Linked DNA regions of Caenorhabditis elegans. The protein of the gene in region 1 purifies or fractionates together with the protein of each later gene. This does not show direct contact. Each region holds a gene or a part of one and is shown in the gene's direction. Other genes may lie near its edges. The genes, in order: K07F5.8 and mpz-6.

Evidence for each region.
Region 2: the proteins of K07F5.8 (region 1) and mpz-6 fractionate together in Caenorhabditis elegans (co-fractionation; one large-scale study listed by BioGRID). This does not show direct contact.

The regions. Positions count from the first base shown.
Region 1 is NC_003282.8:9,847,624-9,862,720, reverse strand, and holds K07F5.8 (Protein-tyrosine phosphatase), read left to right. Parts: upstream 1-12,996; 5' UTR 12,997-13,065; intron 13,066-13,114; 5' UTR 13,115-13,145; coding exon 13,146-13,385; intron 13,386-13,432; coding exon 13,433-13,585; intron 13,586-13,632; coding exon 13,633-13,808; intron 13,809-13,851; coding exon 13,852-14,008; intron 14,009-14,054; coding exon 14,055-14,183; 3' UTR 14,184-14,236; downstream 14,237-15,097. Other genes in the region: K07F5.14 (NUC153 domain-containing protein), read right to left, coding at 50-158, 273-497; npp-1 (Nucleoporin Nup54 alpha-helical domain-containing protein), read right to left, coding at 976-1,185, 1,233-1,430, 1,481-1,659, 1,754-2,147, 2,198-2,377, 2,434-2,615, 2,854-3,123, 3,795-3,899 and 2 more; K07F5.12 (Transmembrane protein 144 homolog), read right to left, coding at 4,735-4,943, 4,987-5,237, 5,284-5,555, 6,332-6,528, 6,577-6,703; ssq-1 (Sperm-Specific family, class Q), read right to left, coding at 9,163-9,266, 9,313-9,816, 9,868-10,132; ssp-10 (Sperm-specific class P protein 10), read left to right, coding at 11,690-12,019; K07F5.7 (Major sperm protein), read left to right, coding at 14,546-14,899, 14,947-14,997.
Region 2 is NC_003280.10:9,398,274-9,414,019, reverse strand, and holds mpz-6 (PDZ domain-containing protein), read left to right. Parts: upstream 1-6,899; 5' UTR 6,900-6,942; intron 6,943-7,043; coding exon 7,044-7,142; intron 7,143-7,402; coding exon 7,403-7,483; intron 7,484-7,540; coding exon 7,541-7,735; intron 7,736-7,778; coding exon 7,779-7,913; intron 7,914-7,961; coding exon 7,962-8,162; intron 8,163-8,234; coding exon 8,235-8,420; 3' UTR 8,421-8,486; downstream 8,487-15,746. Other genes in the region: arrd-3 (Arrestin C-terminal-like domain-containing protein), read right to left, coding at 1-277, 666-769, 970-1,036, 1,111-1,225, 1,280-1,455; M176.9 (Tyrosine-protein kinase), read left to right, coding at 2,575-2,621, 2,674-2,736, 2,781-2,883, 3,124-3,444, 3,492-4,048, 4,092-4,268, 4,314-4,677; arrd-2 (Arrestin C-terminal-like domain-containing protein), read right to left, coding at 5,061-5,567, 5,620-5,895, 5,945-6,166; Y51B9A.5 (Ovule protein), read right to left, coding at 9,329-9,538, 9,746-9,808; Y51B9A.6 (Major facilitator superfamily (MFS) profile domain-containing protein), read left to right, coding at 10,883-11,025, 11,488-11,996, 12,055-12,227, 12,272-12,448, 12,499-12,670, 12,716-12,816, 12,879-13,024, 13,067-13,196; Y51B9A.7 (Small integral membrane protein 8), read right to left, coding at 13,523-13,623, 13,674-13,762, 13,816-13,961; Y51B9A.8 (ShKT domain-containing protein), read right to left, coding at 14,423-14,448, 14,492-14,683, 14,904-15,017, 15,067-15,154.

The DNA.
Region 1 (15,097 bases):
AAAATTGAAAAATAGTTTTGGTTTAATTTATTTTAATTTTAGACAATACCTTTAGGACCAGAGTGTCTATTTTTGATTTCAAAATCTTCCTCCTCATCTTTATCGTTTTCATCTTCAGAATCGAAGAGTTTTGGACGTTTTGAACTGCGCGAGGTTTTCTGAATTATTCCAACTTAGTTTACGAGTATTGTCTTTACAGCAAACAACTTTATGAAATCGGGCAATTGCTGTTATAAGAGATTTTTATCTCAAAAAATTGAAAAACTTCCAACCTTTTCACCATTCGCGGCTGTTTTTTCTGTTTCTTCATCCTGATCATCCCCATCATCCGAATCTTCAAATACAATGCGTTTTGTCGTTTTTTTGTCAACATTAGCAATGTCAGCAGCAATTTGACGATCTCTTTCTCTCTGATCTTGAATTTTTTGCCTCATCGCGGCTCGACGAGCTTCATCTGAACGTTGACGTCTCTTTTCATCATTGTCTTCATCGTCCATTTTCTGAGATACATTTTGCAATAGTTTTTATGTGATTCTAATTATTTGAAAATCGCAGAAATTCGAACGGGAGACAACCGTTATTTGACAAAACTCAAACAGAAAAATGGAGATCAAATTTATTCTAGATAGAAGTTTGAGATGAATTAATTCAATCTATTAAACAGTGTGTGAAATAAGACAATTAACAATTTGAGGAGGTCAGATCAACAGTTACAACCAAGAATGAGGCATATTTTATGAAAAAATGTACTCGTGATGACAGGCGAACATAGAAAAAAGCGAGCTTTTTTGCTCAATATGTATAAGTTTTAAAAACAATTTTCTGCCACACATCTTAGGTCGAAACAGAAATAACCAGAAACCTGTCAGAGTTTGAAAGAAAATAATGATGATACAAAAGAAATGAGCGAATTTTTAAATTAATACGAGAAAATCTGAAAAAAAGATTTTCAGAAAATCTTTTCTAAAAAATAAATTATCCTTCTAGAGCCCTTCTACAAGCTTCAAGACTTTCGATTTGTTGATGTGTTGACTCGTAAAGGCCAGAGCAAATATTAACAAATTTGGTAAGCACTCTACGAGCATAGTGTTCATCTTCAATTGTCATATCAAACATTTTCCACATTGATTCTTGAAGTTTATCCGGTTTTGATTCCAAAATCTCGTAGAATTTGTCGACATAAAACTGAAATTAATTGTTTTATACAAAATTAAATCATAATTTTTTCTCACCTTCACTTGATTATGACGATTCATTTGGGCAAGAAGTGTATCAGCTTTAGCTTCAATTACATCCTCATCAGTGTCAATTTGACGTGAATATCTTGATACAATCCATTGTGCAAGCATAACACGAACAATTCTGTACGAGAGAGTTTTATGGCGATTACGAATAATCTCCATCTTAACAACTGCATCTGCATGTTCATGCTGAAATATGTATGACATTTGTAAACTTTCATCAAGTTATAACAACTTACATTAGCTTCTTCAACACGATTTCCCAATGCATTAATTGCCTCGTGGAATAGTTTCGACTCGCCAACTTGAGCCTTCTGTCTGTCTCTTAATGCTTCCCATCCACGTACTGGAACAGGAAGAAGTTTGTTTGGAGCTGGGTTTTCTTTGATTGCTTGTCTCCAAATACGCTCATCGATTCCTGAAATGAATGAAATTTGATACAATGCGAGGGAGGAAAACGAAAATCTTTGTTAATAAATGATAAACATAGTAAAAATAACGAGTAAACTAACCATCAGGAACTGTCTCCAAATATCTATCTCTTTGTGCTTTCGACATTCCAACTTTAGGAAGAACCCTTGTTTTATCCACTTGCAACTGCGATTCTAATTGGGTCATTTTTGGAGCATCATTGAGGATTTGAGCAAGTTTAATAGCTCCTGCAACAAATCCGCCTTCTTTGGCGATAATACAGATTTCTGTGCATCCATCAGAAAGTGTTCTCATCGAAGTACCAGGAGCATATCGAACTTCTACATTTGGTCCGCCACCAAGAATAGCTTTGATAATTTCAAGAATTTTGTCACGGCGTTCTTCTGTGTTCAAGTTTGTAATAGGATGACGCAGCACCAAAGTTACAAATCCCTCATCGTCGGTTCGCTCCGAAATACGATTGTATCCGATTCCCTGAAACGTGACACTGTGCAAGTTTTCAGTGATTTATAAAATAAACTTACAACAAATCGTTCAAACAAGTTTCCTTCCATTGAAAACGATAGAAGCTGATTTCCATCTTTGTATGGAGCTTTTCCGACACCCAAACCGGCAGCAACTTGATTCAACTTAGCAACAACTCCATCATTATCATTTCCAAAGAGCTTTGGATCTCCGACAGCTTTCACAAATGGGTGATACTGCTGAAAAAATTTTATTTGGAAAAGCGCTCAGATATTCTTAAGATTCATTTAATTACCTGAATAACTTGTTGCTGCTGAACAACAGGCTGTTGTTGTTGTTGAGTTGCTCCAAGACCACCAAGAGTAGACCCTGAGCTGGAACCAAAAAATCCGCCTGTAGCTGGCTTTGCAGTACTCGATCCAAAAAGCGTTGATCCCGCGGCTGTTCCAGTCGACGCTGCTCCGAATGGGGTCGATCCTGAAAATTGAGCCATCAAAATTATCAAAGTTCGTTAATTAGACAATTATATTCCAGATTCACGATAAAATACTTGAAGCAATGTTTTAAAGCTAATTAGACATATCTAAATTAATTATTTTTAAGATTTAATATTAGGTTTAGTTTTTTTTTTTTTTATTCGGTTTTTGATCTGACCCACCAAGTCTACTCAATTCTAGAAATATGAAAAGCTAATACAAAGTTGATGAATACCAACCTCCAAATGTTGAGTAGGGAGGACGATAAGCTGCTGGAGCCACATTCAAGTTGTTTGCCGGTGATAGAAAAGATGACTGTGGGGCATTAGTTCCTGGTAACGCAGATGGTGTGGCAAAAGATGTTGGAGTATTACCAGAAAGACTACCAGCCCCCAAAGTTCCTGATTTGAATGCTGCCAATCTTGTGGCAACGGGTGATTTGGCAGTTTGTTGTGTGGATCCAATACCGCCGAGACCTCCAGATGTCGTTGATGATGTTCCGAAGAGTCCTGAAGTTCCAGAAGTGGTTCCAGATGCCGGAGAATTTGTGAAAAGCGTGCGGTTAGCGTCATTGGGTGCTCCAAACAAATTGCGACGGGCTGGTGAACTAACATTCTGGGTTGCTGGGGCTGGAGCTTGAGATGCTGATGTCGTAGGTAAATCGGGAAGATTTGGAAGATTCTTCGGCATGTCTTCTGCTTTGATTCCGGTGATGCCCCCACGTCGGGCAAACATTTCTGCAGACGCTCGAGACGAAGAAAACGAGTAGCAAAGAGCAACACGGGTGATAGAAGAACAGGCAAAGAAATCCGCACGACACCGACCACGACAGAGAAAAGTGAAGGTAACGAACACAATGACGACGAGAGAAGTAGAGCGATAGGAGAGAAATAACAATTTTGAATAAAAATTAAGCGCAAATCACAGAAGTAGAACCTTGGTAGGTCAAATAATTTGTCAGATCAAAAAATATATTGAGTCTATTTTCTTTTTTCATTCATTTGTTGCTGGAATTTAGAATATAATTTTTTGGTCCAAAATGTATTACTTCGATCAATATGATTTATCGATTTCCCCTCCTTATCATTGTCTAGCTTTTCTCTCAACGAGACCACACAACAGCTAATAGTATAAACTAAGTAGAAGTGACCGAAAATATCGATAATTTTGAGTAGCTTACCGGTTGTAGAAGCACCGAAAAGACTTGGAGTAGCTGTTGAAGTGGTTGGAGCAGCACCAAACAAAGTTCCAGCAGTTGAAGTGGTAGTAGTTGAAGTGCCTGTCTCTGAAATTTAATATATTTCGGTTTAAAATGCAACTTTGATTACGAAGTAAGTTGTGTAAAAGTAAAAATATCAAACTTACTTCCAAACAATCCTCCAGAAGGAGTAGAGGTATTTGTTGTTCCAAAAAGCGAAGGCGTTGATGAAGCCTGAGCAGTTGAACCGAACAGAGGCTTTGATGGCGTTCTGAAAATAATATTTTTGTATAAAAATAATACTTCTTAAAATACTAACGTGCTTCCAAACAAAGTTCCAGACGATGTTGTTGGAGCATTCGGCGTTGGAAACGTAAATGCCTGTTTTTGGGGAGTAGATGACCCGAAAAGTGACATTTCGCTGAAAACAAACGATTTTTAAGAGAAATGGGGCTTGTGAGAAGAAAAAGAACACATATGTAGTTAATGCGAGAATTCTAGAATGAAAATAATAATATAAATAAGACAATGAGCCGAATTAAATCGATTTTTGGGGACGCTTTGGCGTGCAAATTTTTTCGAATTTTGTCTGTGTACGAAGGGGCGCGTTTGCTGGCACCCTCCTCGAAGATGAAAGAATACATATTCCGAAGAACATTCAACCGTGAAAAGAAATGCATGTTTCAGGTATTCAGTTACTTCGTATTTTGCGAAAATTTGATAACTCATTTTAATCAAGAATTCTTAAATTGAATTTCGATATAAAAGATATCAATAGTAACTTCTTTAGATTTCCAGTTGTTTTGTTGAAAAATTTTTTTTTTAAACCAAACGATCGTTTAAACGATACGAATAATACTTTATTTCAAATATAATACAACATTTTGAGATGAGATCAATAAATCGTTCGGTTCTGTTCTAATTAAATCTGATTAGACAAAGCAATCATAATCACCGAAATGACACCAATAACAGAAGAAATTGCCAACGTAGCATATGATCGGGTTCCTTGAATACTCTTGAATACAAATACATCAAGAGCTCCACTAATTAACGGTGGAAGACGGGCGGTACATGGATAGGCAACAACTTGAGATAATTTATCACTGGAGACAAACCAAAGTGTCATTCCTGAAGAACTAAACATTTGAACAATCGACCACGCATCTCTTACCTGTAGTCCATAAAATACCGTACCCAATCGATGGAATTATCAAATTCCTTTCCACGTAGGCTTTTCGACGCAAAATTACACAATACGCGAAGAAATACAGTGTAGAGAAGAGGAATACTGATGTGTAGAATGGGAAAATATAGTCAAACACTTGGAAACTATCAGTTGGTGGATTCTGTTGCTTCAAATATTCAATCGGTGACATCATCAAACCATGTAGACACGCAAGAACCATTGCCATAAGGATATAACTGAAAATTCGTTTTTTTTTTAAATTTCTAAGCATGCCCAACGAACGGTAATTTCTTTGCCAAACCAGCCATATCAAATGAAGAATCTCTTTCTGAATTGCTGAGTCTTTGCTCAATCTCTTCTTGATGTTCCATTTCCTTGCTGGTCACATCATATTCATTTTCTGGCTCCGTTTCCACGTGTTTCACGAATATCAAAAGAACTCCACTCACGATTGTCAATGCAATTCCAATATAGTTCAACACATCATTTTTCACATTCTGCGGGGCAATCCATTGGAACAGCCCGAATCTTGCCACTCCCCATCCGACAATAATCTTAAAGAAGAGTTTCAGAGTAGTTTCAGAGTAGTAGTAGTAGTTTCAGTATGTTTCAGAGTAAGCTTTCCGCGTAGACACAAAACGCCTGCCTGCATTTTGAGGCAATCTGCGTCTTCCCGCCAAAATTCCGAAAATAACGAGGTAGACGGTATGGGCGCAATTGCTGGAAATTTTGAAAACCAAAAAAATTGTATCACATTTCCAAAACCTCTGATAGTATTCAATTGAAATTCATGCCACAAATAAGTATTCAAGAAATAATTTTAGATTAAAATTATTTTGAAAAACCTTTTTTTTGAGACCCGAAGAACTCGTGGGATGTCCAACTGGGGGGATTACCAACTCGGGGGATTGGCCCCGCCCACAGAACCGTGGCTTGCAATACGCCCATTTCTGCAACTGCCGCACGGTTTTAAAACTGTATTTTTCTCAATAGAGCGAGAATTAACAAGAAAAAATAATTTTAGTTGCAAAAATTCAGTTGCAAAAATGGGCGTATTGCAAGCCACGGTTCTGTGGGCGGGGCCAATCCCCCGAGTTGGTAATCCCCCCAGTTGGACATCCCCCGAGTTCTTCGGGTCTCTTTTTTTTCAACATTTTTTGGTTTTCTTGAAATCAACTGTAATTCTGTCGCAGAAAAATTCTATCGTGGGTTGAATTCTACGTCTATGGCGGTTTTCATAATTTTTCCTCCGATATTTTTTGTTCCAACACTTTTTTTTGGTTTTCAAAAGTTCCAGCCCCTGCGACAAGTTATAAAATGAAATAAAAACCTGAAGACTAGTCCAAATCAAGAATCCAACTCCCATCCCAATTCCTTCAACAATTGGCACACTGAATACATTTCCAGTTGCATAAAGAAATCCTCCAATACACGCAATTGGCTCGAATTTTGGAAATCCACGTGCTGCGTAGAAGATGCAACCGACAATGAATACAACTCCACATTCAATCCACTGGACAAAAAATCCTGAAAATTTCGACTTAAAAAAGTTTCTATAATCCAAAATATACTCACCATCCTTACAATTTCTTCTTCTCAATGGAACAAACATTGTTCCAAAAGCGCAGCAAGAAAGAAGAAGTGCCACGTATCCGACGATTTGAAGTGAAGTATCTACCGTAGGAGCTACGGTAGAGCTCATTGTTACCTAAAAGTTTTTGCGTTACACATGATAATTACAAATGTTTGAATTGTAGAATTTCAAACAAATTGTTGAATCTAACAACCTAGTTGATTGTACACTACAATTATTTTGCAATAAAATCTGAGAAAGAGAAAGAATTGTACTAATAATAACTAGTATTATTAGTAGTTCTACAGTCTTTTTTACTATAAAACTACAAGGAAATGAGAATAAAATGAGGGAAACGAGGAAGGAAGAAAAGTGAAGAAGTAGAGACGTAGAGATACAATAGTTTTATTATTAGAGCGTGGTAGGTAGATCAAAAAAGTTTTTGGAACTATTCAATGTTTTTCATGAAATTTCCTTTCAGTTCTCTGGTTTCATTAGAACTTTCAAATAAAATGAACAAAAAGTACTTTATACCCTCCCAGGTCAAAATTAAACAACGAAATTCAAAACGAAACATTTCCTTTTCTATCGAAATTGTTTATTTGGTAAACTTCCAAAGTTTAGAAATTTAATCAATAAAACTAACGTTGTGAATTTTCAATTTATGTCAATAATCCTTTGAGACGCCTCCATCTAACCAAAAATCAAATTAACTTGAAATGAAATTCATATTTTTAAATCACGAAACTAATTGAAATCTCGAATATCTTCCAACGCAATAATTGTTTTACTAATTGTAAATAGAAAAGGTCAAATTATTTAATATCTCTAAACTGTAAAAAACCGTTAAAGTTCAATTCTAGAAGCAGCTAAACAAACAAAAAGTTTTGTCGTGTTGTCAGTTCAAAGACAAAAGAATGACAAAAGTGACCAATTGTCGGGTCGTTATATTTAGTTTAGCGATACACGCGTTCTTATCACTTTTGTCAACTTTCTAATCAGTTGAACGCCATTTTCACACCTTTTCAAATGAGTTGAAAATGAAAATAATGAGAAGTTCATCAGTTTATTTGTCGAAGAGATATTGAAAAAAAAACTGTTGCCCAAACGAATTGCCTATGAAAAAACTACAATTTGATCATCTCTGATTATTGTGAAATTCATTTTGTGATATACACTCAAAATAAGGTTTTTAATCTAATACTCCACTTTTCAGATATCATGTAACAAGAAAATGTGTGTATAGAGATAGCTAAATATAAGTTCCTTATCCTCACAACTTCCTCATTATTAGAAAAATGATTACGAAAACTTGATCTGTGTACGTTGTTTAATGGCGTATATTGGATTCGAAATTTTTGAGGTTAGATCATAATTTCCAAAATAAATATTCTGGTATTAACAGAGAGTGAAAAATTATGTCGCCGAGATAGACAGTTAAGAAACTAGAGCATCCCAAAAATCATGTTCAATATCGTATTATAGGAAGGGAAATGAAGTTTCCCACAATTTGGATTGAATGAATAATGTATGGTATAATGGGGGGAAAATGGTGTGTAAACAAATCAAATATATGTGGGTAGACAAAAATACAATGATTTGATGAAATTTGCGTTAAACCACTTTATTAAACGAATTCTATCAATTGATAACAAAAATAAAGTAAAAACGGAGAAGGATCTAAAGCATATTAGATCTTTTTTAGTTCAACAATGAATCTGATTATTTTCCATTTAATTAATTTCAATTTTAATCGAGCTAATGGAAGTTTTAGATTTAGGAAAATTGCATTAAATATATTGATAAATGGGAAACAAGTAGGTTATTTGTTATTTAGACTTTAGCGTGTTTGAATATTGGGGAAATTGAAAGAATTGAATTTTTTAAAATGTTCAGATGGCTCTCATCTTCCACTTTCAAAATTATTGGCATTGCCTGAAGCGTCAATTGTGAGAATTTAATCAAAAGATTTAAAACATTAATTTCAAGAAGGCGTTTTCAGTAAACATTGGCAACAACATGTGGGACTGGACGCCTCACTGATGTCAAAATGAGTATTTGCATGCTACGTGGATGCTCAGAGTACGGATTCGCTTTTCCATTGGTTTCGACAGGATTATCTCTTTGAACAGTTACATCCTTGGAAATGCCATTCTTTTATATTTTTGCTCTAAATTTTTGTTATTGTAGACAAAAACTCTTTTCTTGTAGAATGGATCAGATTCTACACCATTCGGGAACATTGAAGCGTATCACCCAAACCAAAACCTTTTCTAAATTCGATTTCGAATGCCAAAAATTAAATGCGAATGAACTGAGATTAGTTGTCGTTTTTCTTTCCCAAATTTCAATACCTATTCTCAGAACTACTACTACGAATCTCTACGAATTCACTACGAATTCACTTGAATCTCAACTTTTGGAATGAAGTTACTGTTCGAAGAAATAGAACATTGAATAATGACTCCGCTGCAGTATTGTATTCTGTTGAATACGACTTGTAACTTCAAAACACATGAAAACATAAAAACAAAAAACGTATTTTTTACTGTTTATTGACTATAAAAGTTCAACAAATTCTCTCCTTCTTACTTGGGTGCAAAGTATGCAGATGTGGCACCACCTCCAGCTCCGCCGCCACCTCCGGCTCCCATGTACATAGATTGTCCGGGAATTCCACCTCCACCACCGCCTGAATTCAATTTATTAATACTTGATAGTTACCCTCTTAAATTTACCTCCAGACTTGGCACCTCCAGCAGCACCTCCTCCAACTCCGAAGTAGGCAGATTGTCCAACAGCTCCACCACCTCCCATAACGCCTTGTCCGACTCCGAAGTATCCAGAAGTGGCTCCACCACCACCGCCTCCTCCGCTCATTGATCCGGCTGGTGGCGCGGCTCCAAGAGCAGAAGCTCCACCGCCTGGGGCTCCAACAGCAGTCATTGTAGATGCTCCACGTGGGGCTCCGCCAACAGCGGTCATGGTGGAAGCTTCACCTGGGGCTCCTCCAACAGCTGTCATCGTAGAAGCTCCAGTTGGCGCCCCACCGACAGCGGTCATGGTTGAAGCTCCTCGCGGAGCTCCTCCCACAGCGGTCATGGTGGAAGCACCAGTTGGAGCTCCTCCGACGGCAGTCATCGTGGAAGCTCCTCTCGGGGCTCCTCCGACAGCTGTCATAGTAGATGCGCCAGATGGTGCTCCGCCAAGAGCAGTCATTGTCGAGGCACCTCCACCAGCTGCTAAAAAAATACAATATCACTCCAAACTGAGACTACAACAAAAAGAATTACGTGGTGGGGCTCCCATAGGAACGGCAGCTGGGGCACCTCCGACTGGTGCTCCTCCAACAGCGAAGTAAGCTGACTGGGCTCCGCCACCGCCACCTCCTCCGGCTCCAGCTCCCATGTACACTGATGTTCCTGGGGGTGGTGCACCGGCACCTCCAACCTTCGAGGCTCCACCGCCTCCTCCTGCTGGTCCTCCTCCAACTCCAAAGTAAGCCGATTGTGCACCAGTATTACTCCCGCCGGCAACTCCGAAATAGGCAGATGTCATGGCTGATCTCACGGTTCGAAGAAAAGTTCGAATATGATTAAAACTGACGATTTCGCGAAACTTTATACCAAATAGTTCAGATCTTATCAGTTATTTTAGGGCAGTAGAGCAACGCGTGAGAAATTCAAAATTTTTAATGAATTTAAATTTTATTACTCGATTTTTGAAATATCAGTTTTCACGTGCTTTTAGATATTTGAGTAGAAAATAAATTATTTTAAATATTTTTCAGTTTTCAGTTTTCACTTTCACGCACGTAGACACAAAATATAAATAATAATAATTTATTACGATCGTTGAGGAAATTGGATTTTCGGGATTTTAAAGGAATATGTGTAAAAGCCTGCTCCAAAGACTTTCTGTTGTTACAATTCCTTATGATCCTTGCACATCCATTACATATGACAGTTCCTCAAGTCCCATAAATATGAAATGAGTATATAGGAAAAGTGGAATACCGTATTTCCTCTATTAGTAAGGCATGCAAAACTAATTTTCGGACACCTAATTTGATGCAAAACTAATAGAGGCGCCTTACTAATAGAGGAAATACGGTATATGATGTGGTAAAGATTAAATAAAAGATGATTAAATATGTGAACCTAGATCATGGTGAAGCCACATGGTGGTCGTGTCTCCTCGACACATGTTAATTTTTTTATTACAGTTTATTTATTTATTTGAAAAAATATGAAAAAAACTAAATATAAAAGTAAGTGAATCCGTACAGAACTCGTTCTCTAGGAAACTGTACAGCAGACAAAAGGGAAAGTACACAAGAACAGATGACCCTGACTATAAAAGCGCTATTCAACCTGTCAATTTTAGAAGCTCGGCGTAAAACTATTGATAATGTTTTCTTGTCGAAAATTCTACTAAACAAAGTTGACATTGACATAGATCATTTTTTTAATTACACAAAAAAGTAAAACTCGAACCAAAACCAAGTTCATCTGGGGGAAATGCAAAATCAAAATACGTATACATTTTTTCACGAATAGAGTATTAAGTTCTATAAAAAATAGCGAAATGAATTTTATATTGGCATCTCATGTTCTATGAATGTTTATACTTTTAAGTCTATTACTTTCATGTTACCCATCATTCATCTCCCTGACACCCGCACATTGACAGTTTCATTCTCTATCTAATTAACTGTTCAGAGGATAATTCATTTTCTGCATGCTTATTATCAATATTTGTATGATTATTATCAATTTTCCAATGATTTGTTGTCTTTAACTCATTCGTGTCTTTTTACTATTTATTTTTGATCACGATTTCAATCGTAATAAATACAGCAGCTTTTTAAAATTTTCGATGAAAAATGTTTTTTTTCAGAAAATAAAATTATTTTTCTAAATGGCACCGGTACTTTTTAGGAGCTATACCTCAAAACACTATTAGTTTTTAAACAAATTAATAATTAAAATTTCAAGTAATTTTACGCGTGACAAGGTTAATAGAGCATCTTGATAGGAGAAGGTATAAATATTTGGCGAAAACGGTAATCAAATCAGTCTTCAGTACCAAACAACCAACAGCCGAAGCTACAACATGTCTCTGACTGCCGATCCACCAGCTTGTACCGTACCAGCCGCTGGAGGATCCTCGACTCACAAGCTCGTCAATGGTGGAGCTGAGAAGATCATCTTCAAGATCAAGTCATCCAACAATAACGAATACCGCATTGCTCCAGTTTTCGGATTTGTCGATCCATCCGGATCAAAGGATGTTGTGATCACCCGCACTGCTGGTGCTCCAAAAGAGGATAAGCTTGTCATTCATTTTGCACCAGCTCCAGCCGATGCTACTGATGCTCAAGCCGCTTTTGCTGCAGTCACTCCTGCTGGAACTGTCACCATTCCAATGTCGGCCACCGCCTAAAAAGAGCACTTTTTGTAACGTTTGGGTAAAGATGAAAATGAAATATTTTTGATGAGGTCGTTTTTTTTTTCAATTACTATCAAATAAGACCTTTTAATAGACTCCCAGAAAACCGCGACAATGGCTTGTGTTCTTTGAACGGAAGATTAAAAGAGTTATCCATAATTTGGTGAACCATTAATTGAATTTTTTTCAGTAAAACAAGTCTCAATCGAAGTCCTACTAGTTCCTCACCACACCGACCATACTCTCAATATCACCAGTTAGATTTCACAAATTGACAAGAGAAACTGAAATTCTTCCAAATTAGAGATTCTTAATTATTCCAATTTTTCTTTAGGCTTATTAACTTATAGGCTTATTTTTTTATTTTATCTTTAATTAAATATTATTCATGTTTTATCATCCCATTATTACAAGTGTTCAGTTCTAAATATTTAATGGAGCACGGCATATTGGGAAATTATCAAAATTATAATAATTTTTTTAACTGGTGAAAGCTGAGTTTACACCACTTTGAGAAATCTAAAGCACTGTCGCATGTTCACACCACTACAATGATAAAATAAAAATATTTTGAACATATTAAAAACATAAACCTAGAAGGAACATTTAGTTTTTTTTATCACTGACTTCCAAAAAAGTTGTGAAAACTTTTTGTTGTACTTTACAGTACTTTTCAGTCAAATTGACTTTTTCCTGAAGTTTTTTACAGTTTTATTTTTAATGTTGTACAGTTTAATACAAGAAACATATTTTTTAGCTGTAGTTTTACTTGTCGAGATGTGTTAGTATGGATTTTCCCTACTAATTGTTTTGAAGCCCCGTACTTTTAATTAAATTAAATTCCGACGATTAGCAAAAATGACATTTTTAATTTTCCCGTGAACCGAAATGCCTTTTCCACTTTTGAACTTCTACGTAGCTCTTATCTGATCAATCATAATGTTGGATCAGTTTGTTTCAAAAAATCAATTACTTTTAAAAATTTCCGAAAAACGAGTAGTTTGCAAAAAGGAAAGCCGGAGAAATGTCGTCGACTAAAAGTGAGTTTAGATTTTATATTTCTTTTAGCTTTATTCGAGAAAGTTACAGAAGACAAAAAACGAGGGCAGAATTTGCAACTATGAAGCGCTTCAATGACTTCTCAAAGATGAAAGCATTCAAAGATGCCCAGGAGCATGGAAAGAACCGCTACAAGGACGTAGGATGCTTGGACAACAATCGGGTGAAGTTGGGTGGAGCATGGCCGCATGAATATATTCATGCGAACTATGTATCTACTCCAACTAACCCGAAACGTTTCATCTGCACCCAAGCTCCCCTTGAGAAGACTTGTGCCGATTTCTGGTTCATGTGCCTGCAGGTTTGAAATTTTTTTTTTTTTGGAAGTACTAACAGTTGAACTTTTAGGATCGCGTCGAGACAATCTTCATGTTGTGCAACTATAAGGAGAAAGGAGCAAAGAAGTGTCACGAATATCTTCCAACCGAGGACAACAAGGACACTATGTCATTCAAAGAAAAAGGACAGAAAGTCACCGTCAAATTCGAATCGTCAAAAGCGGTTTGTGTTGAAGAAATTGTTTGTGCATGCATACAAACATGTTTCAGATCAAATTTCGGGACAACAGTGCCGCGAAGGTTACGAAGACCGTGCTGACAGTTGAGGGAGCTGGTTGTGATAAACTTAAGGTTAATCATTACCACTGGATAGATTGGCCTGATCGAGGAGTTCCGACTGCTGACAATGCAATTCTCGAACTGTTGGAAAAAGCCAGAGTGTCGAAGTGAGAATAGTTTGTGACCTTTCAGCATTATTTCCTTTTTTAGAGGACCGATTGCTGTGCACTGCTCGGCAGGCATTGGGCGTACTGGCTCCGTGGTGATGCTCGAGTACGTGATGGATCAATTGCTAGCTGGACAGATTATCGAAGACACTGACAAGATTATTCAGAAAATTCGTGAACAGCGTAACAATTCGGTTCAGGTAAAACAAATTTCTTGCTTTTTCGGAATAAAACATCAATTTTCAGACCGATCATCAATACCTCTTCGTCCATCAAGTTATGATGAATTTCTTTGAAAAGCGTGGACTTCTCGATGAGGCCACTTCTGCCATTCACAAGGATTTCACCGATCAATACAGTAAATGCGTCCTATAGAACTTTTCCTTTTCATCTCTAGAAAATTCTCGAATAAACTTTTGTCATCAAAAAAGGATTTTTGTTTTCACTGTCGTTGAACACAATAAAGAACAATTTATCACAGTACATGATTTAAAATTATCTCAAAGATAGCAAGCAAATCAAGAAATATTTGATATTTTTTTGTCAGGACACGTTTTCTCAAGAAGAGCCATCCAACTTCACCTGATTGATATCCAAGCCGCCCACACATCTTTTTCTTGTCGCAAAAACCTCATTAATTACAACGTTGTATTGATAGTTTTTTCATGATTCCTGACAAAGTCACATAAAACGTTAAATAATCATGTAATAGTATTCTAATAGTACTACGAGAGAATATGCATTACAAATTGGCATTCTTACTTTGCCAATACGGTTTGTCATTCCAGGAAGCCAAATTCCCAAATGCTGGCGGAAAATCGGAGCATATGGTGGTCAACTTTACCTCAAAACGCATGGCTATCAAAGTTCGATGTGGCAATGCACTATTTCGTGTTGAGCCAACTCACATGATCATTGAGCCCAACAAATGCCGCCAATTGACAATCAATCGGATGCCTGGTCCAATTCAAAAAGACAAGGCAATTGTTCAATACCTAGAAATCGAGAAAGACGTGCAGGATCCGAAAGCTGCATTCAAGGCAGCGGACAGTGCTGGAACCAAGATTCCACACCTGAAGATCAAGTTGATGGTCAGTTACCTTCCAGGTTTTTATTTTCATTTAAATTTATTTTTCAGGCAGGAGCATCGGGAGGACGTCAGATGTCAAGAGAGGTTGTAGAAGAATGAGTGATGGAATAGAAGTTTTATGTAGTGAATCTGATTCTAGTATTGGAATAAAAGGTGTTTTTATAACTTTTACATTGATGAATTTCAGCTAACTTTTTTA
Region 2 (15,746 bases), on another chromosome or scaffold:
ACTTCACTTCGATAAGATCACTTTCAAAAGTTTGTACGGTTTCGTGAACTTTAAATTCGATGAGTTCTTGTTGTTCGGTGTTTGGTTCCACGTTGATGCTCTTTCGTATCATTATTTTCCTCTGCCGAGTCATTTTCTCCTGGTCTTTAGCATAAAATCTTGCAATTCTGAAAATCCGGACTCCGACTTCTCGAACTGTGCATGTTGATTTATTGTCGATCAGCAAAGTTAGTGGAATAACTTCTCCCGTGATTAAAACCCGCTGTGGGAAGCTAGTCTGTAAAGTTGAATAGTCTTATTTTGGAATCGGGGATTTTACTTTTAACGTCTTTAAATGACCATATTATATGAAAAAAAAACAAAAAAAAAACTCAATTAACAATTAATAATTGTAAGTAGCTCTATTCCCCGGGATCGAAATTTCATGCTGTTTTTTTGCCTTTTTGCTAAAGGTTTAATTTTTTCGATCATTTCTATCATTGCCAAATTTGGAGAAAAATCGGTATTTAAACGTTTTCGGTAATGCCAACAATCCACCTCTATAGAGAAATATTTTAATTTAGTTCAATTTAATATATTACTAATTTAATATATTAATAGTTTAATATATAGTAAATATCGAGAGGTGGGAAACAAGTTTTAAAAAAGAAATAAAACAACAGTACCTTTACACTTACTATCCCACTCTTGAAAAATACACCGATATTCTTCGAAACAGCTCCATTGATTTGTTGCAAGTCTTTTGGTATATAAGTTGCATTCGGTACAACTAAAATTAGATTAAAAATTAATATTGTTTTTTTTTCAAATTCCGTCCTACCGAAAATCAATTTTTTGGTAATCTCCATTAGACTCCATGGTCTGTCGAGTTTGATGACAGTTGGGTTACGCTAGAAACACCGCAGCCAAATTTAAACTATATTTTTGGTCATTAAAAATATTTTAAATTTATTTTTGAAAAACACATACTTGGCGGACAATCTGCTGGTAATTTGAAAGAAAATGGGAATTTGTGTGTTCCGGGTTTTATGCAATCCTGAAATGAATTTTTTTTGCAAAACAAAATAATGGCAAAAGAAAGTACATGAACAGTTCTAAATGAAATCTTACCGTGTCAGAAGTGAAATTCCATAATGTCATGTATAGATGTATGTATTGAATATTTTCTCCATGTGATTTTAATTTAATCGTGGATTTGACATTAACTCCATTACTACGAACAACTCTGAAAACAAGAAAAACTTGAATCTTGAAAAAATTGAATTGACGATCAACTTACAAGCTTGGCTTTTGCTGAATCTCTTTCCACGAAGTTTTTTGATATCCTTTAATATAAACTCGTAATGTTCGAGCTTTGAGCTCCTTTCGATTTATAATTACCACATTTCCTGTAACACATTCTTCGGGTCTATATTTGCAGGTGTCTCGGTCCAGTACAATTCGGAAGCATTCCATTGTTTTCTACAAATAAGTGCATATTTGAATATCAATGTAAATGAGATTATCAAATAAAAAAATCAGATCCTACTATAATCAAGTGTGTCGAGATATAATCTGCCAAAGAAGTATATGTTTTCTGGAAACCACGCCTGGATCATTTATAGTAATTGTCTTATCAGCATCTCCGCTTGCAATTAGGGAATAAAACGTAAATGACTAATCTTATCGTGTTTCCAGAGGGTTTCAAATACTGGAAACCCATAATTTTGCTCTATATTTCTTATCGATAGGTGGCTTATACGATTGCGAAATTGCGTGAATCACACACCATTTAGATCATTTGAAATTATATAAATGAAAGAACTGAAATACAAAAACTCAAAGTAGTGTGTGTGTGTGAGAGAGGACTAGGAGAACTTTATGCATTATCAGTTATGCTTGTCACTTATCGAGTAAATAGTTCACCAAGTGTTTCATTTTACAAAATGTTTAAAATTAATATTATTTTTAATTCAAAAACTGCCAAATTCTGTTATTTTCTTATTTTGCGAGTATATATGTTTTAATTCATCAAGCCCAAAAGGTTCAGCCTGGTAGTCCCATTCCCAAGCGTTTCACGCAGTTTTTCACGTATCACACCACCGTGATGAGAGTCGCTACTCAGCCTATTTACCAAATAAGAGATACAGGGCTTAAAATGTGTAGACTTCAGCAAAAATGCAAATTAATAGTTGAAGGGATGGGGTGGCATATTTAGCAGAGTTTGAAATAATTTTTAAATCGTTCAAGTGGAAGCAAGTTATGCTATTAAAAGGTCGTAATCAGCTTTGTAGAAGGGATACAGTTGGGTTACGCTAGAAACACCGCAGCCAAATTTAAACTATATTTTTGGTCATTAAAAATATTTTAAATTTAATTTTGAAAAACATTTAGACGTTCACGTTTCCAACAAAAAAAACCATCAGTATATTCATTGATTTCCAATGAGTTTTCAATCATTTCTCAATACGTTCTCACTTTTCGCGACAGATATCAGTTTCTACTTATTGAAACTGATTCATAATAAAAGAGGTATTGTTTTCTGATTTATTTTGTTAAATCAATATCGCATATTTCAGAACCAAAACAAAAAATATGGCAAGTAAAGATGCTCGATCATTCGCATTGTACGTTAACTCAAAGTGAGTAGATTCATCGCTCACAAGAAAAGTATCAAAATTTTGATTCTTACAGACCAAACAAGACAAAGTCAACTTCCAAAATGATACCAGCAGCTGTGGCTTCTGGAAGATCCAGGTAAGGAAATGAAGTTAGAATGCTTGAAACTGTCAATTGTTCAGGAGATCGTCAATGCTCCCAACCACAGATGGTCCGGTAGCTGGCTCCAGGAGAGACAAATTGGAACGATCTAAAAGAGGGACTAGAGATCGGGAACGACCAGAGGTACTTGCAAATTCAGATGATCTTGAGAGTTTATAATTCAAAATGGACTGTCATAGTTACTTTTTCGACAGGTCACGTTAAAAATTCTTGAGAAAGTTCAATTCTTCTGACCTTATCCTGACCACAGTTCATTGGATATGATGAACCTCAAGATTGGAACATCTTTTTACAATCTGAAAATAGTCATTGTTTCTAACCATTGCAGACTCATTGCTTCTATCAATGGCAGGCTCATTGCAGGCAACCCTTCAACCAACAGAAAAGAGTGCTCGAGGAAAATCGTCAAGACGGAAAAAGAAAAAACCACAATGCACAGCTCCCGAGGAAAAGTCTCTAATGACATCCGATAGGGAATACTTTCCGGTTTTGGAGAAAACGCTTCGAGGATTCAAATTTTATCATGGGTTTCTGCCACGCGAAGATCTACAAGCCACGTTGCACAATCCAGGAGATTATTTGATTCGTGTGTCGGAAGTAGTTGAAGGAGAAAGCAAAGTCGTTCGGGAGATCATTTTATCACTGATGACGGGCCATATGGAAGGAAAACAAAAAGAGAAAAGGGTAAGTTGAGTGAAGTAAAGTTTTGAAACAAATAACCATATTTTTAGATTCATAATGTGGTGATTAAACGTGTATCCAACAAGTTTTTCTGTGAAGCAGCACGCCCATTCGCTACTGTAGCCGATCTCATCAACTACTACACAAAGCACACTGGTCATTGCTCTTCTGGAAATTTTCAACTGAAACACCCGATTCTTCAGCAAACATGGGAATTCATGCACTCGGATGTGACAGTTGGAGATGTCCTTGGTGAAGGAGCATTCGGAAAAGTGTGCGCTGGTGAACTGAGGCTCAAAGATGGAAGTTCAGCAGAAGTAGCAATCAAGATGACCAAAGCATCTGCATTTTTGAGCAAAATGAAGATTAAGGAGATGATGAATGAAGCAAGGTTCATCAGAAACTTCAATCATAAAAACGTCGTACGCCTATATGGAGTTGCTCATGATGAGCAGCCACTGTACATTCTACTTGAGTTGGTCAAAGGTGGATCCTTGCAAGATTACATGAAGCAGACGAAATCGGTGCCCCTGGCGGATCGAATCAATTTTTGTCTTGGAGCTGCAAAGGGTCTTGCGTACTTGCATCAAAACAATTGTATCCATCGGTGAGCAGGTTTTTTGTTGGAAAATCGATTGAAAACTTTTCAGGGACATCGCCGCCAGAAATTGTCTTCTTCACGAGAACGAGGTCAAGATCACCGATTTTGGATTATCTAGAGCTGGACCATCTTATACAACAAAGACATCTTGTAAGATTCCTATAAAGTGGCTCGCGCCTGAAACCTTGGCTACTCTGAGCTTCTCATATGCAACTGATGTTTATAGGTTAGTTTTATCAACTATTGAGGTATAGACAAGTGTTCTTTCCAGCTGGGGAGTCACTTGCTACGAAGTCTTCGTCGACGGTGCTGAACCATTTGAAGGTGTCTCGAATGCAACTATCAAGGCTGATATCATGGCTAACAATTTCTATCCAATGCCATCAATGACTCCAGACGAAGTAAAAGAGTACATGAGCAGTTGTATTTTTGTCGAAGAATCTCGTCGAGCCACAATACCATTGGCAGTTGCAGAATTTGAACGATTTGCTCGAATGTGTGAAGATGGGACATTACAGATGGGAAAAGCGAAAAATAGGCTTCTGGCAGTTTTCAAAAACAATAGTGATAGAAGCAGAAAAAGTCAGAGAAGCAAGAGGACGAAGAAGAAGAAGGAAGTGCCAAAAGAGGAGTGAACTGTTTTTATGATTCTTTCTACTTGAATAAAAATTGAGCATATGCTTTTTTTCAAAAAAAAAATAGACAAACATCTTAATAAAAATCCAAGATTCGAGCTTTGCTGGTATCATATTTTTCTCATTGGGGCGACATTTGGGGTACATTTCCGAATAAAATAAGTTGCATTATAAGTTTTTTTTTTTTATTTATTTTTGTTCATATTTCTCTGTGAATTGATTTTTCAATTAATGCTATTCCTGAAAAAATTATACAGATTTCCTTTCTGAATTAAATATTTGAATTATTTTTATATGGTTCCGTCTACATTCCGTTTTACACAACTTTTTTCAAAAAAAAACTTTATTTTAAAACATTCAAATGAATATGATCATTGATTAATTTATGGGTGATATGGTGGTGGTGATGCAGTAAGGCATTGGCTCTTCTTTGTCGGCTCACATTCATCTACCATTTCATCGATTGTCTCCTCACTTCCAACCACAATCCGTGCATTACATGCTAATCGATTCCCGGTCAGTGATCCATTTCTTAGGGTAAATCCCAACAGGTATCCCATTGAGATCATTGGAGATTCGAAAGTTGGCGGGAGTCCATTTGGCAGATCAATCTCCACATTGATATATTTCACCTCACCAGGTGCGACGTCACAACTGTAATTGGCTCCGCGGAGCACTGTTTCACCATCTCTTCGATATTTGGATTCAATTGGGCAGTCGGAGTGACAATCGTTAAGAGAACACAATGATTTCTGTGGGCGAGAGTGGTAATGGGATTGTTGAATGAGCTCGAAACGAAGATTAATGATTGGTTTTGTTGAATGATTCTCCATGATGGCAAGTGCTCGGATTGTCTCCCCTGCGAGGAATGCTCGTTTGGAAAAGTGAAGCTAAAATATAATGAGTGAATTTTTTGACTCTACTTTTGAAATTGAACAATACCTTCAACAAAAACAATCCATCTTTGAAAATCGTTCCAGAATTCTTCGACTTGACAAATTCCGCGTACTTCATCATTTTTGGCTCAGAAAGTGTCAGATTTGTCTTCTGAACCACACGGAATGTATTCATCATTTTTAACTTGAGTCTCCACGGACGATCAAATTCCACAGTAACAGAATACTCAATTTCTCCAAACATTCCGCAAAAACTTGGCGGAGAATTTTCTGGAAGTCGGAATCGGAAACGTGATTTGAGAGTTCCAGCGGGGATTGTGTCCTGAATGGGAATATTTTGAAAATATATTTATTAAGTATTAAAAACTCACAACTCCATCTTTGGCAATCCATCCCATAAATGTTCCGGCAAGATGGCGTTGGACATTTGAGCTCTCCGATCCTCCAAAATTACACTTTGATTCTCCTTTCCACGTGATTTCCATATATCGTGCAGAAATTGGATCTTTTGTTGTGAGCAACACTTTTCCAGAGACATAGTCGCCAGGCAGGTATGTTTTGGAAGGATTGGAGAAAACAATGTTCACAGACATAATTCAAAAGGGAGAGATCGAGATAATAAAAGACTGACTGAATGAGACAGATTCTACGTCGTTGTAATCAACTTTCAGCGTTTGTGGGCGGAGTTTCCCATCTTGCTCGGAGAGTGTGGAGGTGATGTGACAATATAGAAAGGTGGTAGATTGCCACCTGCTCTTTTATGAGAATTCCAAATCGATATTGTAATTTTTCTGCACCAACGAAGAACAGTGTCGGTGTAAAAGTCGTGTTTGTTATGGAAAAACGTATTTTCAGATTTTTATCTCCAATTTTCAAAAAGATCTGCATAAAAGAGCAAAATGCCAACAATGCCATCAAGTTTCCAACGTCTTCTTGATATCCCACCTACAATTTGAAACTGAAGAATCTGATAGTGGCACAAAGTCCGAAGGTACAGCTCATAGGTGAAATGCTCAAATAAAGAGAAAATAAACGAATTTTTATTGGTTTCAGCGCCCCAACATACAGCAAAGATCTGAATACAATTCGTTCAAGACTTTCAAAGTTTGTAAGAGGAGGTCAAAAGAAAGTGACAAAAGCAGAAGACAACGATGATTGAATTGTTCTATTCCATTGATCTCATCGAAATTTGATAATATTTTGATAATAAATAATTTATCAATTTAATTAATATAACAACGTGACATCGTTTGTACTTGTTTTATTCAGAAAAAAATTACAGAAAAATAAAAAGTGAAAACAAAAACTGACTCAGTTCTAAATATTTTCTTATCGATAGCTCTTTCGTATCCGCAACAATCCATTCGGAGTAAGTTAACATTCAGATTGCGCGTTGGGTCTGACAATGAGGGCATAGTGACTCTACCAGTTACTAGAGAAGCGGACTGCATTGACATGAACTTCTTACAGATGACAACCAACAACAATAGTTTTCATGTAAAAGGAAAAGAAGAAGTACAATTCGAACGGAAGAATGTGGTTGTAGCATGTGATGTGGTCAATGGGAAGGTAAATGAGGGCTCATTTCGTTTTTGTTTGTTGGGAAATGTTTCTGAAATAATTTATTGAGATGGAAATACATTTCTTTTTGAATAATGTATTCAACGTAGGGCTCGCGCTAAGAGCTGAAACGAGCACAATTTTGTCGGCATTCCTGATGTGTTTAACATTCGAAAATTCCTTAATTTTTCATAAATACGAAGTTTGGGCTATTAAAAAACTCATTTTCAATTCAAAAATCGAAGAGATCTTGAATAATCACATTTGAGATCATATATGTGGACGTGAGTAGCCAATTGATGGGTGTTCTATTTGCTGGTGATGAGATTTTGAACGTCAATGGAGAAACCGTAAGGAATATTTTAAGATCCGTTTCCGCTTCCGTTTCAACTAATCCAAATGTTCAGAACATAAAGACAACTGCTGACTTTATCCGTGCAATCAGTGCAAAACTTCCTGGAAAAGTGACAATTGAGTTCATGCGAGATGATCATTGCCTTGTCACTGAAAAACCATTGCCACCTCGTCGTCCAAATACTCAGATGGTTGAGTTGACTTTCACTTATCGTGGAGGTGCTGCAACAGGGATTATTATTCATAGAGTCAGTAATCGGGACACTTGAAACTTTTAAAGATGGTTTCCAGATGGCAGTTGATCCAAAAACTGTAACTATTTCAATGGTTCAGTCGGCTTCCAATGCGTGTCACTATGTCAAAGGTGGAGATATTCTTGTCAAAGTTAATGACATTTATGTTCTTGATCGTGACTCTGCTAGAAAAGTATGATATCTTCCGAAACACAAATGGCTACTATTATCGCTCTTTCAGCTTCTCTATGCGAGTGTCAACAACACAAAAACGGTACGTCTTACATTGGAAAGATCCACAAATACTGATCCACTCGGCCCTGCTCCACTGCCTCCCGATGGTGCACAGAGTACTGCTGTTGGAGTGAAGAAAGCTGGAAATTCAGTGATGCTTCCACCTCCAAAACCACCCCAAGGAAAAGCCAACAAGCAGTTTGATGTGGTCAGTTTAAACCCATTTTCTTTTATCACTTCACTTAAATATAGAAACATGTTTTCATTTTCTTCTTTGCAGCTTCTTCCTTCTGATGTTTTGGAAATTATGAAGACAAACAAGATTTCTACAAGAAACCGTGCACGAATCCTCCATGTATTATCAAATCAGCCGTTGCACCAGCTCCAACTCCAGTTCCAGCCACCTTGCCATCGGAGCCTGCCCCAGAAGTTCGTATCCCATACATTCCGTCTCCGAAGCCCCTGAAAATGACTCCAAAACGTCTGGGATCTTAACTTGAGGAAGATATTCGGAATAAATTTGTTCGAAAAAAGTTACTTTGAAGTGATTTATGAATTTTTAAAGTTTTGAAAATCTACCTATTTTGCCAATAAATTGTCATTTTCATTTGATAATACACACTTAAAGATACGGCTGAAAATGTACATGACAGTAAAATATACTGTGAAGCCAGAGAGTAAAATATACTGTGAAGCCAGAGAGTAAAATATACTGTGAAGCCAGAGAGTAAATTATTCTGTGAAGCCAGAGAGTAAAATGTACTGTGAAGCCAGAGAGTAAAATATACTGTGAAGCCAGAGAGTAAAATATACTATGAAGCCAGAGAGTAAATTATTCTGTGAAGCCAGAGAGTAAAATATACTGTGAAGCCAGAGAGTAAATTATTCTGTGAAGCCAGAGAGTAAAATATACTGTGAAGCCAGAGAGTAAATTATTCTGTGAAGCCAGAGAGTAAAATATACTGTGAAGCCAGAGAGTAAAATACTGTGAAGCCAGAGAGTAAATTATTCTGTGAAGCCATGAGTAAAATATACTGTGAAGCCAGAGAGTAAATTATTCTGTGAAGCCAGAGAGTAAAATATACTGTGAAGCCAGAGAGTAAAATTTACTGTGAAGCCAGAGAGTAAATTATTCTGTGAAGCCAGAGAGTAAAATATACTGTGAAGCCAGAGAGTAAAATATACTGTGAAGCCGGAGAGTAAATTATTCTGTGAAGCCAGAGAGTAAAATATTTCTAAACAACCCAAGAAACGAGTTCTCTAAAATTGTGTCGGGTATCAGAACTGATTGATAAGTTTATTGAAATTGAGAGCAATACATTTAACTTTACTAATTTATTACTTTCAAAAATCAAGTATCCCATTGATAACTGTTCACTTCTTTGCAGCGTTCTGATTCTTTGGATCCAGTTGATTTTCAGCAGAATTGAAAGCTCTAACCAGTGGCACCGACTTCAATTCATCATTCAATGGTTTTAAAGTCGATTCGGACCGTTTCTGAGCCAGTGGTGGTGGGTCTTCAGTTGACTCAGCAGAAAAAGCACGATTGATGATAGCCATTTGAGCGAATTCTTCAGCAGTTTTCTGATAAGTTTGTATATTAAAAAGTTACTTTTCGGAAAGTGCAAAACGTTGCCTGCTGCTGGAATCGAACTAGCGTCGCCACGGCCACAACGTGGAGTACTAACCACTTCAAACTTATTAAGTCAAAATGCGCAGTTTTCATTCCTCAAGATACAGAGTTTACAGTATTGCATAATTAATAAACTACAAAATATTCCATAAACTAACCTTCTTCAACTGATCTTTGGCATTTTCTGCTTCGCTCCCTTTCATTGGTGACTTGTTTTCCATTTTTACTTGTTTCGATGCGAGGATTTTTTCGCAAAACTATTGTTGGAAAATAATTTGCAACTGCTTGAAGCCGTCTATCAAACGAATCGCCACGTGGTATATATGAAATCAATATTTCCAAGGTCACGCAAAGCTTTTTCACTTTGTTCGAGTGTCCTACGAATAAAAATAATATTTTTTAGAATGTGGCTCACTCGGCATTTGGCTCTAGCTTCTTGCCTAAGTTAGCCCAAAAAATATTATGGGCAAAAGTTAGGCAAGACTTTGGCAAAACTTGGATTCAAGCTTTACCAAACTCTAACCCAAGTTTCACCCAACTTTTGCCAAACTTTGGCCCGAACTTTTCTTATTTCGTTTCAAACTTGGGCCAAAGTTTGGCAAGAGTTGGGTGAAACTTGGGTTAGACTTTGGTAAGGCTTGAATCCAAGTTTTGCCAAAGTCTTGCCTAACTTTTGCCCAAGTTTAGACAGCTTCTGATCCAAGTTAATATTTTTTGGGCTAAACTTGGGCAAGAAGCTAGAGCCAAATGCCGAGCACTTCTTGAGAACAGGTATTAACCGGAAAATAACAATACACCTACATTTAATCAAAAAGTAGAGACAAACCGTATTTCTTCTATTAGTAAGGCATGCAAATCTAATTTTCGGACACCTAATTTGATGCAAAACTAATAGAGGTGCAAAACTAATAGAGGCACTTTACTAATAGAGGAAATACGGTATATCATTTGTGAGTGTCGACTGTTTAAAATATTTCAGACTCGGCACGGAATCAGAGAGCATGGACAAATATTACAATTGTTTTTTTTTGACTACAACACTCATGCTACGCTTATTCTCGAGTTCAAAAAAATCAGAGTTACACTGCTAGAATTGAGCTGATTGTGTATGTACATAGTTCACAGTTCACACCTCTGCTACAACCTTCCTCATGTGGTTCTGTACCGAATCATGACAAAAACTGAGAGGACACCCGAATTTGCATAAGCAATAGTATATAAAACTATTCGGAAAGACCTCCACTAATAACTTTTTAACAATTTGATTTTGCTTATATAGTTGCTATCATATCACAATGTCAGCATCATCTGAAACAACCTCGTCTGGAACGATTTGTGATCAAGTTGATAAAGAAGAGGGAAGATATGGATGTCGCGGTGCAAATCGGTACATCATTCTTGTCATTGGGCTTTTTTTCTTGTCATTTTTACTTTCTTCGTGAGTTTTTTCATTAAATTTCCGGCTTTTGAACATTTGTGTAAATATTTTTTCACATTTCAGTTACTGGAAAGGTGTAACTTTTTTTTAACTAATGCAATGAATAACGACAAGCCACCAAAATATGTATAGGCGGAGCATATTTGAGAAAACAAATTAATTTGAAAACTGAATGATCTTTTTTTAATCTGAAGTACTTGTTTTGGATCTAGATTTTCAACACTATATCCGAAACCTACGAGAAGTTTTGATAACCATGAATAAGAAATTCGATGAAAAAACGCAAAGAACCAAGTTTTGGGCGGGGCTTGTTATCCGATTTTTCCAATTCTCGGTCAGTTTTTCAACAGAAAAAGTCGCATTTGACTCACTATCAAACCTAGATTTTTTGAATAGCTTGAACGGTAATGTTCTAAACACCTAGTTTTCACCAGACAATTTTTCAAAAATTCAAAATTTCAGAATAATCTGCTACAATGCGTGTTATGTCTCCATGGTGAATCCGCAATCGTCTCCCTACTGGGAGGATTTTGTAAATTCCAACAAATCATTGGATGAAATCAACTGGAATGATCCTGATCTTCCACTTTCCCAACGTCGCTTCGCATTCGACACAACTCAAAAAAGTTTGGGATTCGCTGCGGGATTCCTTGGAGCCATCGCCGCAGTAGTTCCGATGTCGAGGCTTACAGCTAGATTTGGAGTTCACAAAGTGATGACTTTGAGTGGAATTCTTGGCACATTTCTTGTTGTTATAACGCCGATTGTTATCACTTGGAGTTTTCCAGTTTTTGTGATTTTACGTGTTCTTCAAGGAATCACTCTGGCTAATTTGTTCACTACAGCCGGAGTTGTTGTTAATGAATGGGCAGCTGTAAATGAAAAAGGATTGTTCATTTCTGTACTATCGGCTCACGTAGAAATGGGAGCAGTGTTCACAATGCCAGTCTCTGGAGCTCTTGCAACGAGTGGTGAGCAGTTTTAAGAAACAAAGTCTGTTAGTCTTAAATTCCAATTAAAAATTTTCAGCTGGTTGGCCATGGGTGTTCTATTTGCATGGAGCAATTCTAGGAGCTCTCACCATTCTTTGGGCTGTCTACTACAGAGATCGTGCGGTGAAGCATCCGTTCGTGCAGAGAAAGGAATGGAGAAAAATAAGTTTTGGAAAGAAACTTGATCAAACTGGAAAAGGATCTAATGAGGTTAGAGATTTCACATTAATGTTTTCAAATAAATAAAAATGCAGACTCCAATCCGCAAAATTGTTTCCTCTATCGTTATCTGGGGTGTTTGGATTGCAGTTATTGGAAACTTTTTGGTATCCCAATTTTCAATTTCCTATGCTCCAATCTATTTGCGCGGTGTTATCGGCTGCACGCCCACTGAAGCTGGACTTTTGACACTTATTCCAATGGCTTGTTTGGTAAATATTTTTGGATCTAATTCTCCGTTATTTGAAAAAAAATCTTTCAGCTCGTCATAAAATTCAGCACTGGATTCTTTTCGGATCGCATCAAGTCCATCTCTGACCTCACAAAAATGAAAATGTTCAACTCGTGCGCTCTCCTTGGCTCTTCAATTTTCTTCATTATTCTTTCATGTTCCAGTCCAGGAGGAAGCAAAGTATTGGATGTCATACTGCTTTGTAAGCTTCAATAGATTTATTGCTGTTTTAACTTTTAATTTCCAGCAATTCCTATGGCTCTCCTAGGGTTTTCTTCCGGCGGATACAGCAAGTGTGCTGTTATGGTTTCCGGACAATACTCTCCATTTGTTATGTCTATTGTGCAGGTTAGCAGTGAAAACCTTTTTTTTTTTAATTAAAAATGTATGAATTCAATTTTTCAATTTAGATAATTGCCTGCTCATCCCTAATGGCTGGAAGCTTCTTGGTCCCAGCTCTGACCCCATCCGATAGCTTCAGCGAATGGCAAAGAGTTTTTATGATTTACGGAGCAGTGCTTGCAATTACAAATACTATTTTCATTGTTTTCGCCAGGTAAGAAACTTAAACTGTTGATGAAAAAAGTAACTTTTACAGAGCTGAACCTGCAAAATGGGCTCAACAGAAAGGAGACTTAACTTTGGCAGAAGCTGTTATGGGTTCAGAACCCAAAAATACAGAAGTGATGCCTGTGGATTCAGAAGTTGGAGCATCTCCTAGAATTTAAGTAATCTTGCTCTGTTGGAGTTTTTTTTTATACAAGTACACAATCTCAATTCAAAATCTCATTTCTTGCATGTAGTTTCCTATACTTTTTATTATATATTTTTATCTTGAATAAATTTTGTTTTATAATTCTTGTCTAGAAAAAAAATCTTCGAATCTTGAAAAATTCCAAAAAGTATTTTCTCAGATTTTTACCATTGATAAAAATAATGTGAAGTTTTATAAGAGTAGGCAAAAATATATAAGTTCTGATCTTTAAATTGGAATTTTTTATACGTTGATTTTACACTAACAAAAAATTATAATAAAGGTACATTTTAGAAACTTTCACTTATTTGCATTCTTGAAAAGTTTATCCATTTCATCATATGGATTGACTTCACGGAGAAGAATTGATCCTCCATACTTGTCATGCGTCTGTTCAGGATCTGAAATTCAATAATACATTTCACCAAACCACAGTAAAACAAAACCATACCTTGATACAAAACAATTATGCTTAACACAATAACTATTATGCATAAAATCACCACCAACACATTATAAGCTCCAATTCTTCGTTTTTTTCTTTAAAAAAATGCAAAAGTGTTTTTGAAGTAAAATATGAACAAGAATCCTACGTTTTCTGAACCCAAGTCGGTAAGTTTCTCAAAGCGTTGTACCATCGCAGCAAATATTTTTCCGCCTTTCTTTGCTTTTGATTTTTTGGTTGTTCTTCATGTTCGAGAGGTACACCCGATGCTTCTGCTTGCGGTTGTACAGTCATTGCCAAGTTGAAATAATTGGAAATAAATGAGAATTTTACTTTGGAGTGATGATCAGTTATGTCACGTGAAAATAAATAAAGCTATTCTCAAATATATGATAGTTGGAATCAGGACTTTCAGAACAAAAATCCTACTTTTTCAAATTTCAAAAGTTGAATCTGATCTTCCCAGGCAAAATCAAATCATCAGATATTTCATAACTCAGAATCAACCAATGGTAGATTATAAGTTATAATAAATGTCTATGAAATACCAGAGGTTCTCGAGTCTCGGAGAATCTGATCTTTTCGGACTCCATGGGTGTGATCTTTCCTTGAGATTTTCGGTAACTGAAAGATCAGGTTCGATTTATGGAGTAACAAATGTTCCCCCGGCAAACTCAAAATTCTAATGTATAAAACTAAAACATTGTTTATTCCCACTATAAAGTACAGTTAATTCATTGAAAAAATCATCTCAGTTATCCATTGTTAGGTGTTGGAGTGCCTGAAAGTATTGTTATAACCTCTTACGTACAAGAAAAGCTTACAGAATTTGCAAGTAAGCGCGCAGTTTGCTCTCATTTTTGCCTCGAATTGTGGATTGGCACAACATTTTTGATAGTGTGCGCATCTTGGATACACGTCGACACATGGAGTGGTGATCACAATATTCGCATTGTTGCAGCAATCACGAGCAGTAGTCAGACTGGATCCTGCCGGGCACAAACCGCCAATTGATGCTGAATTAATGATGCATTAATGCATAAGCTTTTTATTGTGATTCATGTTTGTTATTGGTGTTTCAATGAGTTTTCTCTACTTTTTTTCACTACTAGACTTTATGAAACATTCATTTTTCCGGATCATTTGACCTGTAGAACTGCAAGACAAGAAGAGAAAATCGGCATAACTTTTGCTGAGTTACTTTAACTAAAGTCCACAGATATATTTAAAACTTACGTCCTACAAGCCCTCCGTTACAGGTGATTGTTCCATTAACAACCTGAGCAGTTGGACAACAGTCTCCACTAGAGACTTCAGTATTTCCTGCTGGACAAACTCCTCCAAAAGCCGCTGAAAAGTTATAATACTGGAACACCCATTATCTCGAGCTTAAACTCACGTCCAGTAAAAGAAACTCGACAAGAAACCACTTGTTGGGCGCTTGTGGAAGCTGCGAGAATAAAGAAAATAGTTAGGTGCTTGATCATTTTCTCCTCAAAAATGAAATGACAAGTGGGGCATTCTTCACGGTTTTTATAGCAGTTTTAATATGGTGATTAGTCTAGAACTACAGTTATGCAACATTATGACACAGTTTATCATAGAATGTACCTACTTGTTTTCTGTCTTTTGGGGAAAATGCACTCAAATAAGAAAGGTTGTACTTTATAACTCATTCAGTATGTTAGTTTCAATCTACTGCAAAACAACAGAAAAGTGCGTCAATTCCTGCAAGCAAGTTTTTAGTTCGGCAAACCAAGTACGTGGAAAATGGCATAAACTGCTATTGGATAACACTGCACTTTTTTCTTAACTCGACGTTTAACAACTGTGTACTAAAAACTGAAAAATAAGTTTTCAGAATGCTGTACTATTGAAACAATCGGACAAACATGCTCTGACTGAAAAATATTGGAGCCCGAATTTTTCTGATGCTGTTGGTAACATGGAAATTTTTGTTATTTAAAATGTACTTTCAGTTTTTCGTCACAAATAACTTTGTACTGGAAACCTGGACAACATGTTATTATGTGCGAAACTGTAATAACAAATCGTTTCAGAAATCTCAAAATTACCATT